2 linked regions of the Arabidopsis thaliana genome follow. The main gene of each other region encodes a partner of the protein of the gene in region 2 in a complex. Each region holds a gene or a part of one and is shown on either strand. Other genes may lie near its edges. A codon is read from its position in the direction of its gene.

Region 1 (7,832 bases), on a different chromosome or scaffold from region 2:
ATATATATTGGCTCCAATCAAAAACAAATTAAAGTTGCATGGTTACGTGTTAGCAAATGGTGGGGACAAAGATATCAATTAGGTTATTTACGTCTTAACTACGTTACAACAATGTCTCTATCATATAATTCCAAATGTGTCATGAAAACCTTTTTTTTTTTTTTTTGTTAAAGAGTTTCATGAAAACTTTATCCACATAAACGTTTTTGAAATGCATGTGTTTTTAGTTCACATATGCGCTCGGCTGCATAATTTTACGGAATCATAATATATGCTCAATTATTTTACTATTTTCATTTGTTTAAATTAAAAATCAAATGTATATACCATTTTTCGCGTTTAGTGTTTTAAGAAAGCTAGTCAATTATTTTGTTGTTCCACTATTTTTATGATGCATATCAATCATCTAATTGTCGTTTCTTACTTATCAGTTTACCATTGTATTGTGCGCAATTTTTTTAAATTTGCATGATTCGCCACTAGAATCTTAACTTTTCGGAGAGATTACTTTTTCATAAAGAAACAATTGGGTATAGTATTATAATTTCTTCAAGATTGTCTTTTACATTTATTTACAACAACAAAAATTGACCTAATCTTTGAATAATATACATAAGGTAGATGATGTTATTGTACAGGGCATGTGACTTTTTAGACATCCCTATTATTTATAGTTAGAGCAGGTGAGGCGAGGATCGATGAAGACATAACTACTGTCAATTATTGTAATTGTTCACATTTCTCAAACCCCAAAATATTCTTAATATAAAATAGAAGAGGCATGTCCCATAATCCCATTATATATGTAACCTTGTATATATTCATCATCATTATTTTATTTTGAAAAAAGATTTTGTTCATAATTATCAAAACTGGATAAGATATTCGGTTATGTGTATGTATCCGATCGTCATGAAAATAACATGTTAGCATTAAGGCTATGTAATTATGTGCAAACCTGCCACGAATAAAAAATAAGTTATACACTAAGTAATAAAGGAACTTCAATAACACCATTAGTGGCGTCACTCCAAGCGTTGGTTGCACAGTCTAATGTATGACATTAAGATGCTTTTTAATTTGGTTTCTTGCAGATATGTATAGATTGAATCTCAAATAAAAAATGTAGAAGCTGAAAAAAAGAAGAAGGAAAATATCACATGCAAAGATTATAGTATTGACGATATCGACCTGCGACTTTATTGTCGCCATTGGTTAGGTGTTCAAATTGCAAATGTATTTCAACATTTCTATGATTGTTAATATAGATAATGATATCCAAATTGGTCATGAAAAAAGCAATCTGATTTTGAAAAAAGTGAGATGAGATTGTATCTACTTTCTTTTTTTTGTTTTGGCCCATGCCCTACACAGCCAAGCAAATTTGCATCAATTAAATAAAAATAACAAAATATTTTATAAAAATGATCACATTTGACATTTTTCTCAGCAAATAAACTAGTGTGATTCCACTAACACTCTTTTCTACAGATCTCTATGTTTTACATGATACATAATAATCTCTAAAGTTTCACCTGGAGAGCTTTGTTCATTTGATGTTCTTGAGACCGCAAAACTGAACTGAAAAACAAAAAAAAAACAGTAACAAATCAGCAATTCATGTTAGCATTTCTGGACACTGCTGGCTGGTTATTGATGTTTAACAAAACCGTGAATCTGAGAAACTTACAAATGATTTTAAAAGAAATGGGTTGCCATCAAAATCTGAGGTTTCTTCTTTTCTTCTTCAATTTGAATAACAGCTTCTGCTTTGATTTCTTCAACCTTTTTATCCCAAATCTCATCCACTAGTTTCCATGTGTCATCGCTGATGATTTGTGTCTGCATCAAACATAGCACAAGAGTATTATATAAGAGAAGAAAAAAGTTTAATCTTGTTATGATCTATGAGTGGTTTGTTTCTACTACATACCTCCATGGGACGAGGAGCTCCAAATGTTGCAAAACCAATGTTTCCTGGTGAAAATGTTACTCTTCCAGGAAGCGATACACCGTGAATTCCCCATCTTCCCGCATAGATTAAAGCTCCATACTCATCGACAGGTCTCACGGGTTTCTGTTTTCATGAATCAAAGGATCTGGAAAAACCGGAAAAAAAATCAATACAGAGAGATAAGATTGAGAAAGATAACTAACTTGAGGAATCCTTGGAGCTGTGTTGTAAATGTTCCAGATTTCATCGGCTTTGATTTCTCCTTTCTCAAGAAGCACATCTGAAAATATTATTACACTCTTTAAGATTGTTGAGTGTATGGTGATATCTGCCATTGCAATGACGAAGCAGAGAGGATATGATATTATTCTAAACCTGTGATTTCTTCAAGGGCTGATTGATACTCTTGTAAGATTGATGAGCATTTCTCAACAGCAAACCTCATGTACTCATCGCGTAATGCCTCAAGTTTCGGAACAAGCTATACACGAAGGAGAATCGAAATTGGTGTTTCTGAGATTCTCAAGAGCTAAAAATAAAGAGGTAACAAGTACATATATAAAACTTACATTAGGAACGAGGTCTCTTTGGTTTCGGTAATAAGCTTTTCCAAAAGCAGTCATTCCCGTCTGAAGAATCAGAAATTCCGCTCGCTGTGAAGCTTCTAAAGTAGACTTAGCAGAGATCCAACACAGGTTTTCTATTCCAAACATCTCTTCTTCAACTACTCTAGCTATACGACACAAACAAGGGGATGAAGTAAGCGACAGAGATTTTTGTGATCTATAACGAAAAAGAGAAAGTGTTGACAAGTTTGGCTTTGCAACTTACGAGCACATGCACGGATTATTGAGTTCACATAATCTGACTTTCTCGCAAAAACTCTTCCTGAAGTTTCAGAGTAACGCATATTTGGTTGGCTTCTAATCGAGTTTATGTCAGTCTGCAGAGAGAAGCACATGATACAAAAAATGGTCTTAGTAATGCTATAATTCAAAATAACACATGAAGGAAACTGCACTCAAGTTTCTTAATAAACCTCGCTGATTGGACGATATTGATCTGGGAGATAACAAGCAAGAACAGCAACAGCTGCTTCTCGGTAAGCCAATCTCAACTTCAGTTCCTCTGGAACTTCAGTACTATCTTCTTGTCCAGTCTCAAATGTCCCTTTTTGCTGTAAGGAGTGGAATCAGAATTTGCTAAAGCAGCACCTAAGCATGGATAAACTGGATATCAAACACTAGTTACCCGCTTAAGCGCCTCAAGGAGTTCTTCTCTTCCAATGTAATCCAAATCTTTTCTAGCTGTCAAGATTCCAGCTTCATTTCTGTAAACAATTAACCAAAGATCAGTGTTTTCTGTTTTTTTCCCTCTGCATCTAAATACATAGTTGAAGCTGTAGCATTGTATATTACAGAACGTTTTGCAGTTCTGCTCCGGTAAAATCTTCCGTGTTCTCAGCTACTTCTTGCAGCAACTCCTCCTTCTCATCCTCAGATCGAAAGAATTTATTTCTAGCATGTACCTTTAGTTACAAACAGAACTTTTCGTTAAAGCACAAAGCCAACCAAAACTCGTCATATCCAGAAAAGTAAAATTAATTACCTTTAATATCGCCAATCTACCATCTTTTGACGGTAAACCAACTCTTATGATTTTGTCAAAACGACCTTTTCTCAATAGAGCAGGATCAAGGATATCTAATCTATTTGTTGCACCTATGACTAATACCTGACAAAATCCATGATTACTAGCAAGTATTGTTTATTGAAAAAAAACTATATAGCAAAGGGAAACATTACTTGTGATGTAGTAACTTTAAATCCATCCATCTCAGTCAATATTTGAAGCAAACCTTGTTCTCTCTCTGCTCCTCCCTATTCAGTGAGTAACACATTTCTAAAGAAAGTTAAATCTCTTATACTAAAATCTAATTTCCGGAACAAGAAAGCATTGCATTCTTACCCCGCCAATATCGGGTCCACCTCGCTTACTTCCAATTGCATCAATCTCATCAATGAAGATTATAGATGGCGCATATGACCGAGAGCTAGCAAAAAGATCTTTAACACGAGATGCAGCCACTCCTACAAACATCTGAGAGATTTAAACAAAAACAGGAAAACTCCATTAACTCAAGACCTTAAAAAACCAAGATATTTAGCACTGTTATTCATGTTGACACAATCAATCACTCACCTCAACAAAGTCGGTTCCATTTGCCGCGAAGAAAGGTAAACCAGCTTCTCCAGCAATAGCTTTGGCTAACAAAGTTTTCCCCGTTCCGGGAGGTCCATGAAGCAGAACACCTTTCGGACAATAAATGCCTTTATTCTGAAATTCCTCATCATTCTTTAAAATTCGCACAATTTCTTGTAATTCCCTCTTTATATACTCCTGACCCGCAAAATCATCAAAAGTAACACCAGTTTTCTCCTCTGCTGATATAAATTTTGCCCTTACAGAGAGAACCAAACATAAACTTAGATCCAACAAACTTGAGCAGAAGAGGTCAATATCAAAGGAAGTCGAGCATTTCTAAACATACCGACTCTTGCCTAGGGAACCGAGTGCTTGGCGCTTGAGGGGCTGCCTTATCTTTTTGGTAGGGGTTCCGAGATCACAAGGGATTAGTTTGGCATAGATTGGCCTCGTGATACTGTCGATCCAAACATAAAGCGAAACAAAGAGGGCAAGTCTCATAGACCAAACCACAAAAGTGGCAACTGTAGTATAGACTTCAGCTGGAACCACATCTACATTGAAAACCTCTACGTTTACTATCTGCTGATGCAACTTCTTCCATACATCATTCCAACCATCAATTGGCATTCGGTCCACAATGTGACGACGGAAAATTATCTCCTTTTTCGAATCTTCTTCTTCTCCTAGGGGCTCCCCATCTTTATAATAAGGCAATATCACTGCAACAACAACAAAACTTAGGCAAAAGATTTCAAGAACACCATGTCTAGATTTCAAGCAGTTAGATGCAATGTATCGAAACTTTTTGAAACTTCTCACCTGATATCGTCTGTCCGTAATTTGAATATTCCATGTATTGAACACTGTTGGAATCTAAGAGCTTCATAAAATCACTAAAATTGATACGGTGAGAGGTTTCAGGATCCCATTCTGTTCCTTTTAACTTGCCACGCATGGTTAACAATGTTCTACTCCAATCTGATGCCATAACAAGCTGCCTTTCTAATTGTACATTAGCCTTTCTCTCGAGCTCTTCCATGTTGCTAAGTCGTTCTCTTTCAGTTTCTCGTAACTTCTACAAAAACCAAAAGATAAAACGAATTAAAGCTTTGAAAACTCCATTAAACAAAATGAGGAATAAGTATATCAATTAAGCTACAACCAAAAAATGTTTCAAGTATTGAATGCAAACATAACCTCTTCAACAGAAACTACACAAGTATACGATCAAAGTCCGAAACTGAGTATCACTTATTAGCTTGCAAGTTCTTCACTTTGCATTCTAGAAACGAAAGCCCTAGAATTGGATAATTCTAGCTATAATTTGAAATAGAGATAAACCTCAAATAGACGATTGGACTCAGCATCTTCTTCCTGTGAAACTGAAGACTCAGTAGACTCAAAGCTCGATGTACTGCAACAAGTAATCAAACCATTTCTTCGTGAAGGAAAAAGATTGAATTTGGAGCTTAATTTAGCTTCCGTTGGTTTTCTTCGACGGACGAAACTAGACAGAGAACCTCGAAATTGACTGGGGAAGAGGGTATTAGAAGGGTTTAAGGGTTTCGAGAAATGGGTTGGAGTTAACGAGCTCGAGATATAAAACGTCATTGTTCAGTCATTAGATTAGAGCTGGGAAAAATTTCCCCTCGATTTCTAAGTGCAAAGAGAAACGATAGCAACAAACTTTCTAGAGGTGAAATTTGAAGCTGGTGGGTTCTTCACGAAGATTGAAAAAGACGATCGAAACGGTGCGTTTTTAACAGTTTCTCAAACGCGCCGTTTTAAGAGATTACCGGTTCTATTGTAACCGGACATCACCGGTTGACTTTCAAATGTGCTAATTATGAAGATACCGAACCGGTGAAGCTCTTTCTCAATCCATAAAGGAAACTCTTTCAATATGTATCATTATATATTCTGGTTCATTCTCTAGTCAACTAAGAGACATTTGCTCTGTATGTATGATATAGATGATGTGTACACAATTGTAAAAGACGTCGATAAGGTTGAACATGGATCATATGACAAAACCTCTTCCATGCTTTGGTTGTGGAATCGGATGGTTCCGTGTTAAAAGCAAAAGAAAAGGGGACTTTTTGTCTCGGTAATTTTGTTTTTTGCTTGGTCATGCATCAGTTTCACAACATGTTCTCTCTATTAATTAGGATGATTCCAAAAGAATCAAAAACTTATGACCTTTTTGCTAAACTTTCAAATTGGTTAATGGTTAAGAGGAAAGCATTGGTTACGACTTAGGAGTTTTAAACAAAACAGGGAAAGCAAAATAGATAGATGCAAAGTAATACTCAAAGATCCGAGTTATTATGCATACCAGATAGAAAAGACATAAAAACAACCAGAAACCTTTGAATAAAAGAGTCAAATGCGATCTTAGGCAGAGCCAGACCGAGTAGAAGAAGGCTACAAGGATCTTTGCACGCAGAGAAGTTGGAGACCCATAAAAAGCAACACAATCATTTCAAACTCGACCCGTTCAGCAGCTTAGCATTCAACGCTAGCTCAGCGTTCCGTGCAGCTGATAAGCTTGACCAAAGCCATTTTGTAGGTACAGCTTTAAGTAGCTGTTGTGATGCGTTTTGAGGCTGTGCTAAGAAAACAGTGAAATTTAGACATCTCATAAGGTGAGCAGCCAATTCGAACTCACTGTGACCCGAGAGGTCTCCCACGATGAGCATCAAGTTATCTATTTCAGGATTGCCAATTGCGCAGCAAAGAAAGTCTACAATAATCTTCTCAAGTCTGGCATCTTTATCCCCGAGTGGCCTGAGATGTCTCCCAGGATCAGCACAAATTTTGTTTGGGAAGGTGATCTGATTGCCCGGCAAAGAAATTCCACTAAAATCTTGCTCTGTCTGGTACGTCTGTCTCCTGAAACCATATTATCAACTCAGGATCAACAACAAGATACATACCTATATATATATGTAAAAGATAGAGAGAGTGTGTGTAATTGACCTAAAGGGGAGCACATCATCCCGATTCCAGCGTGTTTCGTGGCCAGAGAGTAATCACCAAAACCGGTGATTTCGCACCTTCCAAGATACTCACCATTATTCGCAAGGGCCATTCTCATGTTCCGCCAAACAGCCTCAGCAGTGAGACCATCAGGGACCGGGCAATCCTCGACATCCCAAAAGAAGACTGTACTATGCCCTCCTCCTAGGTTTTACCATATTACAAAACTGATTAGATCGACTAACTTGCTATGAAAGATCGATCACATCAAATTCCAAACTGCATCACAACAGATCTAACGCTTTCAAGGACAAGGAGATTACAATTTCCAGAGAAAACATATATATCTTACCGCTGAACTTAGGCATCGTTTTGGATCGGTCGAGAAAACTAGATGCTTGCTTGCTGAAGATTAAAGAGAGAACAAGGTTGGCGCTAATCTTCTTCTTTTTATGTTTCTCGGTAGCGGTGTCAAGTGGGCCACAAACCTACGGGCTTGGCCCAATAAATGGGTTGTTGATGTCTGCAAATCTTAGTAAAACGGTAATATTCCGAGTATGATGTCTAGGGAAGACAAATTTCAAATCCATGAACAGAATCTAATCCAAATAAATTTAGCCATCTTAAATCTTAATCATACTACGTATATTGTTCCTAATATATGTAAATCTCCAAAGACGTAAAAAAAGAT
Region 2 (8,989 bases):
AACACACTGAGACCAACCATACCAGGCTTCTGTGACGATGAATGGAGAACACTAATGGAGGAATGTTGGGCACCAAACCCAATGGCAAGACCATCTTTCACAGAGATAGCTGGTCGCTTACGAGTAATGTCATCAGCAGCAACTTCAACTCAATCCAAGCCATCAGCTCACAGGGCTTCCAAATGAAAAACCTTTCTTTTTCTTATGTGCAGTGAAAAGAGAACATAAGTCGATTACAAAGAGTCCAATTCTTTTATACTTTTTCGATTTGGGGTTTGGAGAGAGATATTTCTTGATCCTTCTCCTTTCCTTTTTTTGTTCTTTAACAAAAACAAACAAAAAAAAGTTGAAAAGTTTATTCCAGTTGGTTGAAATTGTTTTGTCACATGTATCTGTTGAATACACATGCATCCCTTTTATAGCTATGCACTGTGTTTGCAAAGATGAAGAATTCTTGACCAGGCAAATAACAGGAAAGGTTTTCTTATGTGAGCATATCATATGGTTTCTCTGAAAATGTTCAACTGCAGATATATATCATCAAATACAGACAGACACAGTACAAAATCCGGCTGGGCCAGGAACATAACTGCGGATATTCTATACCTAAACCAATGATGGGGGGCAAAAGCTCTTTTAAGATGATTTTTTTAGATTGATCAAACCTTTTTGGTTTTCACTATTGAAGAAGTTGGGAACAATCCTGTGGTGTGACAGGATAAGAGTAAAGCTTCTAGCTTCTGTGGAGTGGCGCAGCACGTAAATCAACTGGCTGATAGCTCACTCGATCCTTGTGAGGTAAAAGCTCCTCCTGAAAAGAAAGAACAACTAGTGTCACACACTTAAAATGGGAACTAGAGCTGAGGATTGAGGATCAACAAGAAGATAATATATAGACTACATCATCAGGGTTTATCTGGAATGGCTTCACAAAATCCTCAAACATTAACGGAGAAAGATCCTTCATTTTCTCTTCCACTTCCTACAAAATGAAAGCAATATTTCTTCAGACTGAGAGTATCTAAGCACATAAAAGGTCATAATGAATTGTCATTGAAGTTTCAGAAAGTGTACCAATCCAGTAATCCTTGATTTTTCTAATAACTCTCTGGTGATTAAGTCCAGAATGTGCCTGTTTGCTCTCAGAGCATTCATCGCAAGTTCTTCAGTCTCCTCGATATACTGTCACCAACATTCAAATACCATCTATATGTTCAAGCTCCACATGGGAGAGTTTAAATCAGATTAGGTGTGCTGAGTCGAAGATAAATTACCCTTGTCAACTCACGGGTGAATAGCTCGGATACTTCTACCGACATCTCTGCTGGCATTACATGAGGATGGTCCCACTGATATAACATCACCAAGTTGAAAAGAACGTGAGGAACTACTGAGAATATGTAAGATCAGCAAAAATGGGATAGTATCAGTCTCTGATTAATGGATATACCCGGTATTTTATCAGCTCGCCGTCTGGGTTATCTGGTAAATCCACCATTCCAATCTTTTTTACAAGTTGAGTGAGACCTAATCTCGCACTTTGAGGGCTAATCACCATCTCCCTGGCAATCTGAAAATGTAATGTCAGGTCAAATTTAGAATGGAAGACTAAACATTAATATTACTCAAAACACAAGCACTTTGCAGATATGCAGTTACATAGATGTTATTTTAGCTACCGAGTTGAAGGTTTAATCAGAAGCTGAAAAGCAAGGCACAGTAATTAGTTAAACGAGAAAGGGAGAGTACTTACTTTTGTTATCTTCTCCAGGTCATCTTTTCCTCCATCAGTGACATTATCGCCAAAAACCACACGTTCAGCACAGCGTCCACCATGAGCTACCACCATTTGCATTTTCATATAACCAAACGTGGTATACCCTTGGTCTACCATGTCTTCACGTGGATAGAAAACCGATACAGCAGTTTCCTGTAAGATTCAAGAGAAAAGTTTATTTAATCCATTCTTACACTGTGTTGACTGTTGAGTGTTCAAACACCACTATCATTACAACTGAAAAATATATATTTGAAACAGACCTTGCCACCAGGAAGGAGCTGCGAAAATGCATGCCAGTCAAATCGAGGAAACAAATGAGCCAACACTATATGACCAGCCTCATGAACAGCCAGAAGTCTCTTCTTTTCGTAAGATACCTAATATTACATAAGCTTTAACGGTTAGGGCTTTTTTAGCTGTGGAGCATAGTATGTTTTGAGATAAATAGTACAAAGGATGTCAGTACGAACACTTTGTTCACATTTCTGTTGCTCTTCCTCTGTAAGAAGTACACCCATACCCTCGAGCAATTGTTTATCTAACACATCAACAATGTCTTGTTGATATATGTAAGAACGTCCCTTCCTTACCTGTAAAATTGGATTACGATCAACAACGCTCCTCTAGAAATGGTATAACTAAATTGGGAAATTGAGATCCACATAAGAATATGACATACCGACATTATAGCCGCTTCGTTAACAAGATTCCGGATATCTGCCCCGGAAAAGCCAACCGTTCGAAAAACAAGCTGGATGTGAAAAAGGATATAGTTGTTATGAATGAGCAAACACCTATATCAAACATGTTATTGGGATTGAAAAATAGCAGGAAAACAACTTGCCTTCCCAAAGTCTATATCTTCTGCAAGGTTCTTCCCAGCACTGTGAACTCCAAATATTTGCACCCTTTGCTTTGCATCAGGCAACCCAATATACAGCCGACGGTCAATACGGCCAGAACGGACAAACTCAAGGTCGAGTTCATCAGGTCTATTGGTAGCACAGATAAATATCACAGCTTGTCTCAAAGAAAACCTATCGATACCTGTCTTCTCTTTCCTGCAGGTGGTACAATATTAAGTATGAAAGCCTTGATACAAACCCGATGAAAACATGTACATATCACTAAGATTTATAAACAAGTGCAGATTCTCTTACTCCCCATCGAGTTGCGCAATTAAAGCTTCAAAAGTTGCTCTTCTCCGTGGATCTTTTCTAGCATGTCTACCAGCAATAGCATCTATTTCATCCACAAACACAAAAGCAGGGGCCTGGAGATAGTATATAAAATTAGATCCACAATAATAGTGTGAGTAGAAGACAACTATACCGTATGAGCTTTAAAACACATAACTAAGAACCTTACATTTCGTCTCGCGATTGAAAACATCTCATTGATCTTTGCAGCACCACTTTTTTCACTGTCTGTGAACTCCGCACCAGATGCAAACACAAATGGTAGCCCACTTTCCTTTGCAAGTGTTCGCGCAAAAAGTGTTTTTCCAGTTCCAGGAGGTCCAGAAAGAAGCACACCCTGACTCAAAAATGAAAACAGAGGAGAGTTTGAGCTTAGCTTAGACAGTTAAATGGAATAAACCAATATCCACATGTTAGTTTTTGGGTCAAGATGTAATTTACCCTGACAAAAGCCACATCTTTTTCATAGTATTGCATTGGGTTCCCCATGTAGATCATTAGCTCATCAAGAAGATCCCAGACATCACCGCCTAGTACCACTTCCTTATACATTGATTTTGTCTCACTGACATCTCCAACCGGCTGTATGATAATTAAAACTCATCAATAGAAGTGTGAATATGTGGGAAGAAGGCAACTAAACAAAGAAGTAACGAGGTTAATGGTATACAGTAACGATGATTACCAATATAAAATTTTCTGCATAAGCCATATCAAACAGCTGATTATACTTCTTGTAGAGAAAGCGCTTGGATGTGATAAGGAGAAGCATGGCAGATTCTCTTATAAACCATAAAATTAGTATCCCCGGCAGAAGTGCAATGAAAACTTTCATGAAGTAGTGGATCTGCCTCTTCTGAAGAAGATCCACCTCAACTCCGGCGTTGCAAATAGTCTCAAACAAGTAAGGATCTAAGGGAATGTCAACCTAGAAATAAAAAGGATATGACATGGTGAATGTACATCATTCATTTCCAAATACTTGCAACTATAATTTTTTTACTTACAATATATTCTAGAGGGAAACCTTCTTTCATGGTCACATACAATCTCTTTAGGTCTTCCGTGAAAACAACAGCTGCAACCTGTTATGAACACATACACAGATTATCGTGCCAACATAAGCTAAAAAAAAGATCTATCATCCTATCACGTCCAGCTTCAAATTAATTGCTTTGGAAAAGGAATATATTCATCATATTTTAACTCATAATGAATATACCATCACTTGTTATCATTTAAAAAATTCAACTGGATATAATGACACTTGCCACTCACAATCCCAAAGCCGGACAAGAGTATAGGTTAGAGCTGTACCTCAGAAGAATCAAGCTTCTGAAGGAAGTAGGTATAGGGAAGCTTAGGGCGATATCGCCACCATCTCTTTGATATCCAGAGAGCTCTAGTTCCCTCAGTTTCAGATGTCCTTCCAATAACATCTTCGCGAAGACTTTTCTCTACCTCTTTCATATCAAATTCAACCACATACTTCGCCGCTGAGGAGTTTAACTGTTCTGATAATTTTTCTCGTTCTAACATTTCCTTCCAGGTTGCAAGCCTTTCCCGCCAATTACCTACACTGTCTCCAATTTCACCTATCATAGAAGAATGCAATAGAGGATTAGATGGTCAAAAGCACAGGTTACCAATGATAGTAGATGAGGGATCTAGAAGTGCTGCTCTGAAAGAAACTTGATTAGTGAGATAAGATTAGGTCGTCAAAAACAAAGGTTTCGCACAATAAATCACTTCTTGTTATATCTTCAGCATGCCACTACTAAACAAGTATCACCTAACGAATGTATACTGACCAGAGACACCCAGATCTTGGCTTAGTTTCTTCTTTGCCTCTGTCTGAATCCTAGCATTTCTACCAATTATTTTCTTGAGAGATCCCTCTGTGGTCTCTAGATCGTCATCCCACGCATTTTCTCCAACATAAGAACTATCGTGGACAAGTGTTCCATCAGGCGCTTCAATGAACCTTTTTAATTTCAAGCCTTTAGGTGTTGCTTTCCTCCACATATTTCTCTTGAACCTGAAACACTAGAATAAGTCAGGACATTCTACAAAATCAAATAAACAGAAGTTCTTTTAGTCTTCCCACTCTTGACGCTTTAGATGCCTCATTAGCTGAGTATTTACTTGTTAAAGGATGATACCATAGTTTGAATATGAACCATATTTTACCATGTCCCAGTAGAGAAAATTACAATCGGAAACTGAGGATTAGGAAGCACCTACTTTTCTATATTTCCAGGAGATGGCTCGGGGATCAAAGCCTCCATAAAAGACTCTGTTAACTCTCTTCTCTCTCGTTCTACCCGAGGAGCTTGGATGGCAACATAAACTCTTTGACAAGAAAGTAACAGCGCAAAAGCATATATGAACAAGGCAGCAACTCGTTTACCGTCCCAATTCCTGATGTCCTGATACAATACATCTTCCCTCATTAAGAAACAACCTAATACACTAGTATATGTCGCTAGAATAAGCGTAGTTGTAGTCTCCTCCAAAATTTATGCTTCCGTTAAATCAACAACAAAATAAATAAATACCATACGTTTGTCCCTCAATGTTTTAGAACACAAGCAGAAGTCTAACAATACTTGAGAATCAGAAATTTGATAATTACGTTAAAAAGCTGAACCAGCTTACCTTCCAATGCTCCCACTTGTTCCAATCAATAAACGAAGGCACTGTCTCATTCTTAAAGCGAGTCAGCTCGTGATGGCCCTTGTGCACACTATCCTTAACTCGAGCCACATACTCATTCACTCTCCCACTTGCTTCTTCCGAGTCAAACCCAATTTCTGTCTTCACAGATTCTCCAATCTTCTCCCCAATCCGCTCGGCACCAAGGCGAATAGACTGAGCCAATCTCACCCACGAAAAGCCTCCATCGCTATTAGATGAAGACCCACTACTACTTTCAGACGCATAGACTCGAAAGAGCTGTTTTTTCCGGGTAGCTCCCAGTCCATACTTGGCGGGAAACCGAACAAGACCAAAACTTTTTGATCTTTTCAACAACTGAGTCGATGAAGAGATAAGCGGATTCGGTTTATACGAAATTGCAATCTCCATGAATGAAATCACAAGAAAAAAATTAAAAAGAGAACAAAACCAGACGCATTTGAAGATTTTTCCCGATTAAAGAGCTCTCTCTGAGAAAATTACTGAAGGAAAATGGTGAGTACCAACCATTCAGCTCACTCGACTCTCCGGCAAGACTTACGCTTCTCTCCGGTAAGGAGGTTTATCTACACTGATCCGTCGTTGAGAGTGTCCTAATACTTCGAAGGAGAAAGATGACGCTTAAACTCAAAGAGGCTCGAAGCCTATTAGTTATATAATTGGGCTAGCCCATTAAGGTCCATCAGCCCACTATCCGAAAAATAATATATTTAAACCGTGGAATCCAAGGAGAGACACAGTGGCAAAAAGGGTAATTATAGGGACATTTCTTGGGGTGTTGTCCAAGCTGCTTTTATATAAGGAAGGGATATTGTTCTCTCGCTTCTCGAAAGATCCATTCACCAACTCTTTATACCAGCCTCTGTAACGTTCGATCATCTTGTATTTCATTTCAACCACTCATGTAAGTATATTCTTTCTTCAGATTCCGATTGTTTTCTTCGATTAAGTTTTGAGCTAGATTCTCTAGATCTGTTTCACCGATTTGGTTGATTTCTCCGTCAATCTGAACTCGCGGTGTGCATCTTGTTGTTTGCAGTGTTTTTAGTTTGTTTTACGAAGAATCAACTATGGCGACGAAGAGAAGCGTTGGAACTTTGAAGGAAGCGGATCTGAAGGGAAAGAGTGTGTTCGTGAGGGTTGATCTCAACGTTCCTTTGGATGATAACTCTAACATCACCGATGACACCAGGATTCGTGCCGCTGTTCCCACCATCAAGTACTTGATGGGTAATGGATCTAGGGTTGTTCTCTGCAGTCACTTGGTATGATATCTTATCTCAGTTCTCACTTCACTACTTGCTTATCTGTTGTAATTTTGGTGTGGGAATTTTGATCTGATCTGTTTATCCGGAGAGCCATGCGTATAAGAAGAGTCTCTTTGCATGTTAGGATGTAGATATAGTATTCTTGTTTTTCAATATGTTCATTGACTCTATCGGTTGATTTTCTGGTGTTGTTTGGGTAATTGTTTTAGTAAGTTTACTTGGATATGTTTATACTCAAGTTCAATTGGATGATGCTGTTGAATTAATGGATGTATCTGATCTCAATTTATGTTTCAGGGCCGCCCAAAAGGTGTTACTCCTAAGTACAGCTTAAAGCCTCTTGTGCCCAGATTGTCTGAACTTCTTGGTGTTGAGGTTTGTTCCTCTTCCTCTTCTAGACTTGCAAGGTTTCTGAACATTAGCTTTTAAAAGAACACTGTTCTCACTCTGTTTGTGTTAATAGGTTGTAATGGCAAATGACTCTATTGGTGAGGAAGTCCAGAAGTTGGTTGCAGGACTACCTGAAGGTGGTGTTTTGCTCTTGGAGAATGTGAGGTTCTACGCCGAGGAAGAGAAGAATGATCCTGAATTTGCAAAGAAGCTTGCTGCTCTTGCCGATGTTTACGTTAATGATGCCTTCGGAACTGCTCACAGAGCTCATGCTTCCACTGAGGGAGTTGCCAAATTCTTGAAGCCTTCAGTTGCTGGTTTCCTCATGCAGAAGGTATTTAAAATTTGCAGCATAAAGAGTATCTTCTTAGATGAGTCTCTTTATTTTACTGATCAGACTATTACTTGTTTTATTGTGTCAGGAACTTGATTACCTTGTCGGAGCTGTGGCAAACCCCAAGAAGCCTTTTGCTGCCATTGTTGGAGGCTCAAAGGTTTCAACAAAGATTGGTGTCATTGAGTCTCTCTTGAACACAGTTGACATCCTCCTGCTCGGTGGAGGTATGATTTTTACTTTCTACAAGGCACAAGGACTCTCAGTCGGATCTTCCCTTGTGGAGGAGGACAAGCTTGACTTGGCAAAGTCACTCATGGAGAAAGCAAAGGCCAAAGGTGTCTCTCTCTTGCTCCCAACCGATGTGGTTATTGCTGACAAGTTTGCTCCCGATGCTAACAGCAAGGTAACTATCACAGTCATTGTGGTTGACTCTCAATGGGCCATGTATGAAAGTAAAACATTTAAGCGTCTGGTCTGGTCTCTTTAAAGCTGACACATATGACTCTTGCAGATAGTGCCAGCCACTGCCATCCCTGATGGCTGGATGGGTCTAGATATTGGTCCAGACTCCATCAAGACATTCAGCGAAGCTCTGGACACAACCAAAACCATCATCTGGAATGGTCCCATGGGTGTGTTTGAATTCGATAAGTTTGCTGCTGGAACTGAGGTATGAGCAACTAAACACATATAAACACAAGTTTTAGTCTCACTTTTGTCTAAATCCATTTGTCTTCAACATGTTTGTTAATCATCTGTCTTCAACATGTTTGTTAATCGGAGAAACCCAACTTAACTAACCCAATCTCTTGTCTTGTTTCACCATCAGGCCGTAGCAAAGCAGCTTGCAGAACTAAGCGGAAAGGGAGTAACCACAATCATTGGAGGAGGTGACTCTGTTGCTGCCGTCGAGAAGGTTGGTTTGGCAGACAAGATGAGCCACATCTCTACCGGAGGCGGTGCTAGTTTGGAGCTTCTTGAGGGTAAGCCACTTCCAGGAGTCCTCGCTCTCGACGAAGCTTGAAAATCCTCACGTTGGATTTCATCGCTATTTTGTGTTGTTATATGTATAACAAGTCGTCTGGTTATCTTGTGACCAGACGAGCAAGCCATTATTTATCAGCTTGAGATTTTCGTCTACGGCTCTCTTTTTATGAGTTTTTTAGTTTGGAGCCTTTTTTTAATAATAAGAGATGAAACTCTGATTGACGACAAAAAAAGAAAAGAAATGAAACTCTGATTAGCAAACTCCTCCATACTTCAACCAATGATTTGTCTCTTGCCTATAATTGTCCATTTAAAACGAAACAAGATCGTT

Evidence for each region.
Region 1: the proteins of FTSH12 (region 2) and EMB3144 are in contact, whole or in part, in a cryo-EM structure (PDB 8XKU), measured with the Arabidopsis thaliana proteins. Residues at the interface, in NP_565212.1 of Arabidopsis thaliana: Leu255 (codon at 4,869), Ile258 (codon at 4,860), Ile259 (codon at 4,857), Asn262 (codon at 4,848), Arg264 (codon at 4,842), Ile265 (codon at 4,839), Gln266 (codon at 4,836), Lys270 (codon at 4,824), Leu273 (codon at 4,815), Leu277 (codon at 4,803), Val279 (codon at 4,797), Lys359 (codon at 4,341), Leu360 (codon at 4,338), Pro361 (codon at 4,335), Tyr362 (codon at 4,332), Thr363 (codon at 4,329), Tyr364 (codon at 4,326), Leu366 (codon at 4,320), Lys368 (codon at 4,314), Glu373 (codon at 4,299), Asp382 (codon at 4,040), Lys384 (codon at 4,034), Arg385 (codon at 4,031), Met390 (codon at 4,016), Glu392 (codon at 4,010), Tyr398 (codon at 3,992), Asp401 (codon at 3,904), Ile402 (codon at 3,901), Pro403 (codon at 3,898), Leu404 (codon at 3,895); in NP_201263.2 of Arabidopsis thaliana: Lys91 (codon at 5,237), Leu92 (codon at 5,234), Arg93 (codon at 5,231), Glu94 (codon at 5,228), Glu96 (codon at 5,222), Arg97 (codon at 5,219), Leu100 (codon at 5,210), Met103 (codon at 5,201), Glu104 (codon at 5,198), Val112 (codon at 5,174), Glu115 (codon at 5,165), Arg116 (codon at 5,162), Val119 (codon at 5,153), Met120 (codon at 5,150), Asp123 (codon at 5,141), Arg126 (codon at 5,132), Tyr167 (codon at 5,009), Tyr170 (codon at 5,000), Asn213 (codon at 4,771), Trp216 (codon at 4,762), Lys217 (codon at 4,759), His220 (codon at 4,750), Val224 (codon at 4,738), Asn225 (codon at 4,735), Val226 (codon at 4,732), Glu227 (codon at 4,729), Val228 (codon at 4,726), Asn230 (codon at 4,720), Val231 (codon at 4,717), Val234 (codon at 4,708).

What each region holds. Positions count from the first base shown.
Region 1 is NC_003076.8:25,815,693-25,823,524, forward strand, and holds EMB3144 (AAA-type ATPase family protein), read right to left. Parts: upstream 5,876-7,832; 5' UTR 5,774-5,875; coding exon 5,504-5,773; intron 5,238-5,503; coding exon 4,982-5,237; intron 4,882-4,981; coding exon 4,506-4,881; intron 4,416-4,505; coding exon 4,157-4,415; intron 4,055-4,156; coding exon 3,923-4,054; intron 3,835-3,922; coding exon 3,760-3,834; intron 3,689-3,759; coding exon 3,563-3,688; intron 3,483-3,562; coding exon 3,373-3,482; intron 3,285-3,372; coding exon 3,206-3,284; intron 3,132-3,205; coding exon 2,994-3,131; intron 2,898-2,993; coding exon 2,786-2,897; intron 2,688-2,785; coding exon 2,524-2,687; intron 2,436-2,523; coding exon 2,330-2,435; intron 2,235-2,329; coding exon 2,158-2,234; intron 2,078-2,157; coding exon 1,934-2,077; intron 1,843-1,933; coding exon 1,699-1,842; 3' UTR 1,691-1,698; intron 1,582-1,690; 3' UTR 1,226-1,581; downstream 1-1,225. Other genes in the region: AT5G64590 (NYN domain protein), read right to left, coding at 6,640-6,773, 6,831-7,054, 7,099-7,345, 7,494-7,509. UniProt on the Arabidopsis thaliana protein: Functions in chloroplast biogenesis and chloroplast division. Required for plastid development during embryogenesis. Might be involved in chaperone functions or play a structural role in the thylakoid FtsH complex.
Region 2 is NC_003070.9:29,924,053-29,933,041, reverse strand, and holds FTSH12 (FTSH protease 12), read right to left. Parts: upstream 6,284-8,989; 5' UTR 6,067-6,283; coding exon 5,638-6,066; intron 5,409-5,637; coding exon 5,224-5,408; intron 5,018-5,223; coding exon 4,791-5,017; intron 4,595-4,790; exon of another isoform or gene 4,575-4,594; coding exon 4,297-4,574; intron 4,065-4,296; coding exon 3,987-4,064; intron 3,908-3,986; coding exon 3,665-3,907; intron 3,562-3,664; coding exon 3,421-3,561; intron 3,317-3,420; coding exon 3,149-3,316; intron 3,054-3,148; coding exon 2,941-3,053; intron 2,842-2,940; coding exon 2,625-2,841; intron 2,532-2,624; coding exon 2,460-2,531; intron 2,371-2,459; coding exon 2,251-2,370; intron 2,158-2,250; coding exon 2,041-2,157; intron 1,931-2,040; coding exon 1,754-1,930; intron 1,571-1,753; coding exon 1,451-1,570; intron 1,350-1,450; coding exon 1,275-1,349; intron 1,183-1,274; coding exon 1,075-1,182; coding exon of another isoform or gene 1,051-1,074; exon of another isoform or gene 1,016-1,050; intron 983-1,015; coding exon 902-982; and 5 more. Other genes in the region: AT1G79570 (kinase superfamily with octicosapeptide/Phox/Bem1p domain-containing protein), read left to right, coding at 1-186; PGK (phosphoglycerate kinase), read left to right, coding at 6,747-6,941, 7,242-7,319, 7,408-7,668, 7,757-8,074, 8,183-8,341, 8,501-8,695. UniProt on the Arabidopsis thaliana protein: Probable ATP-dependent zinc metallopeptidase.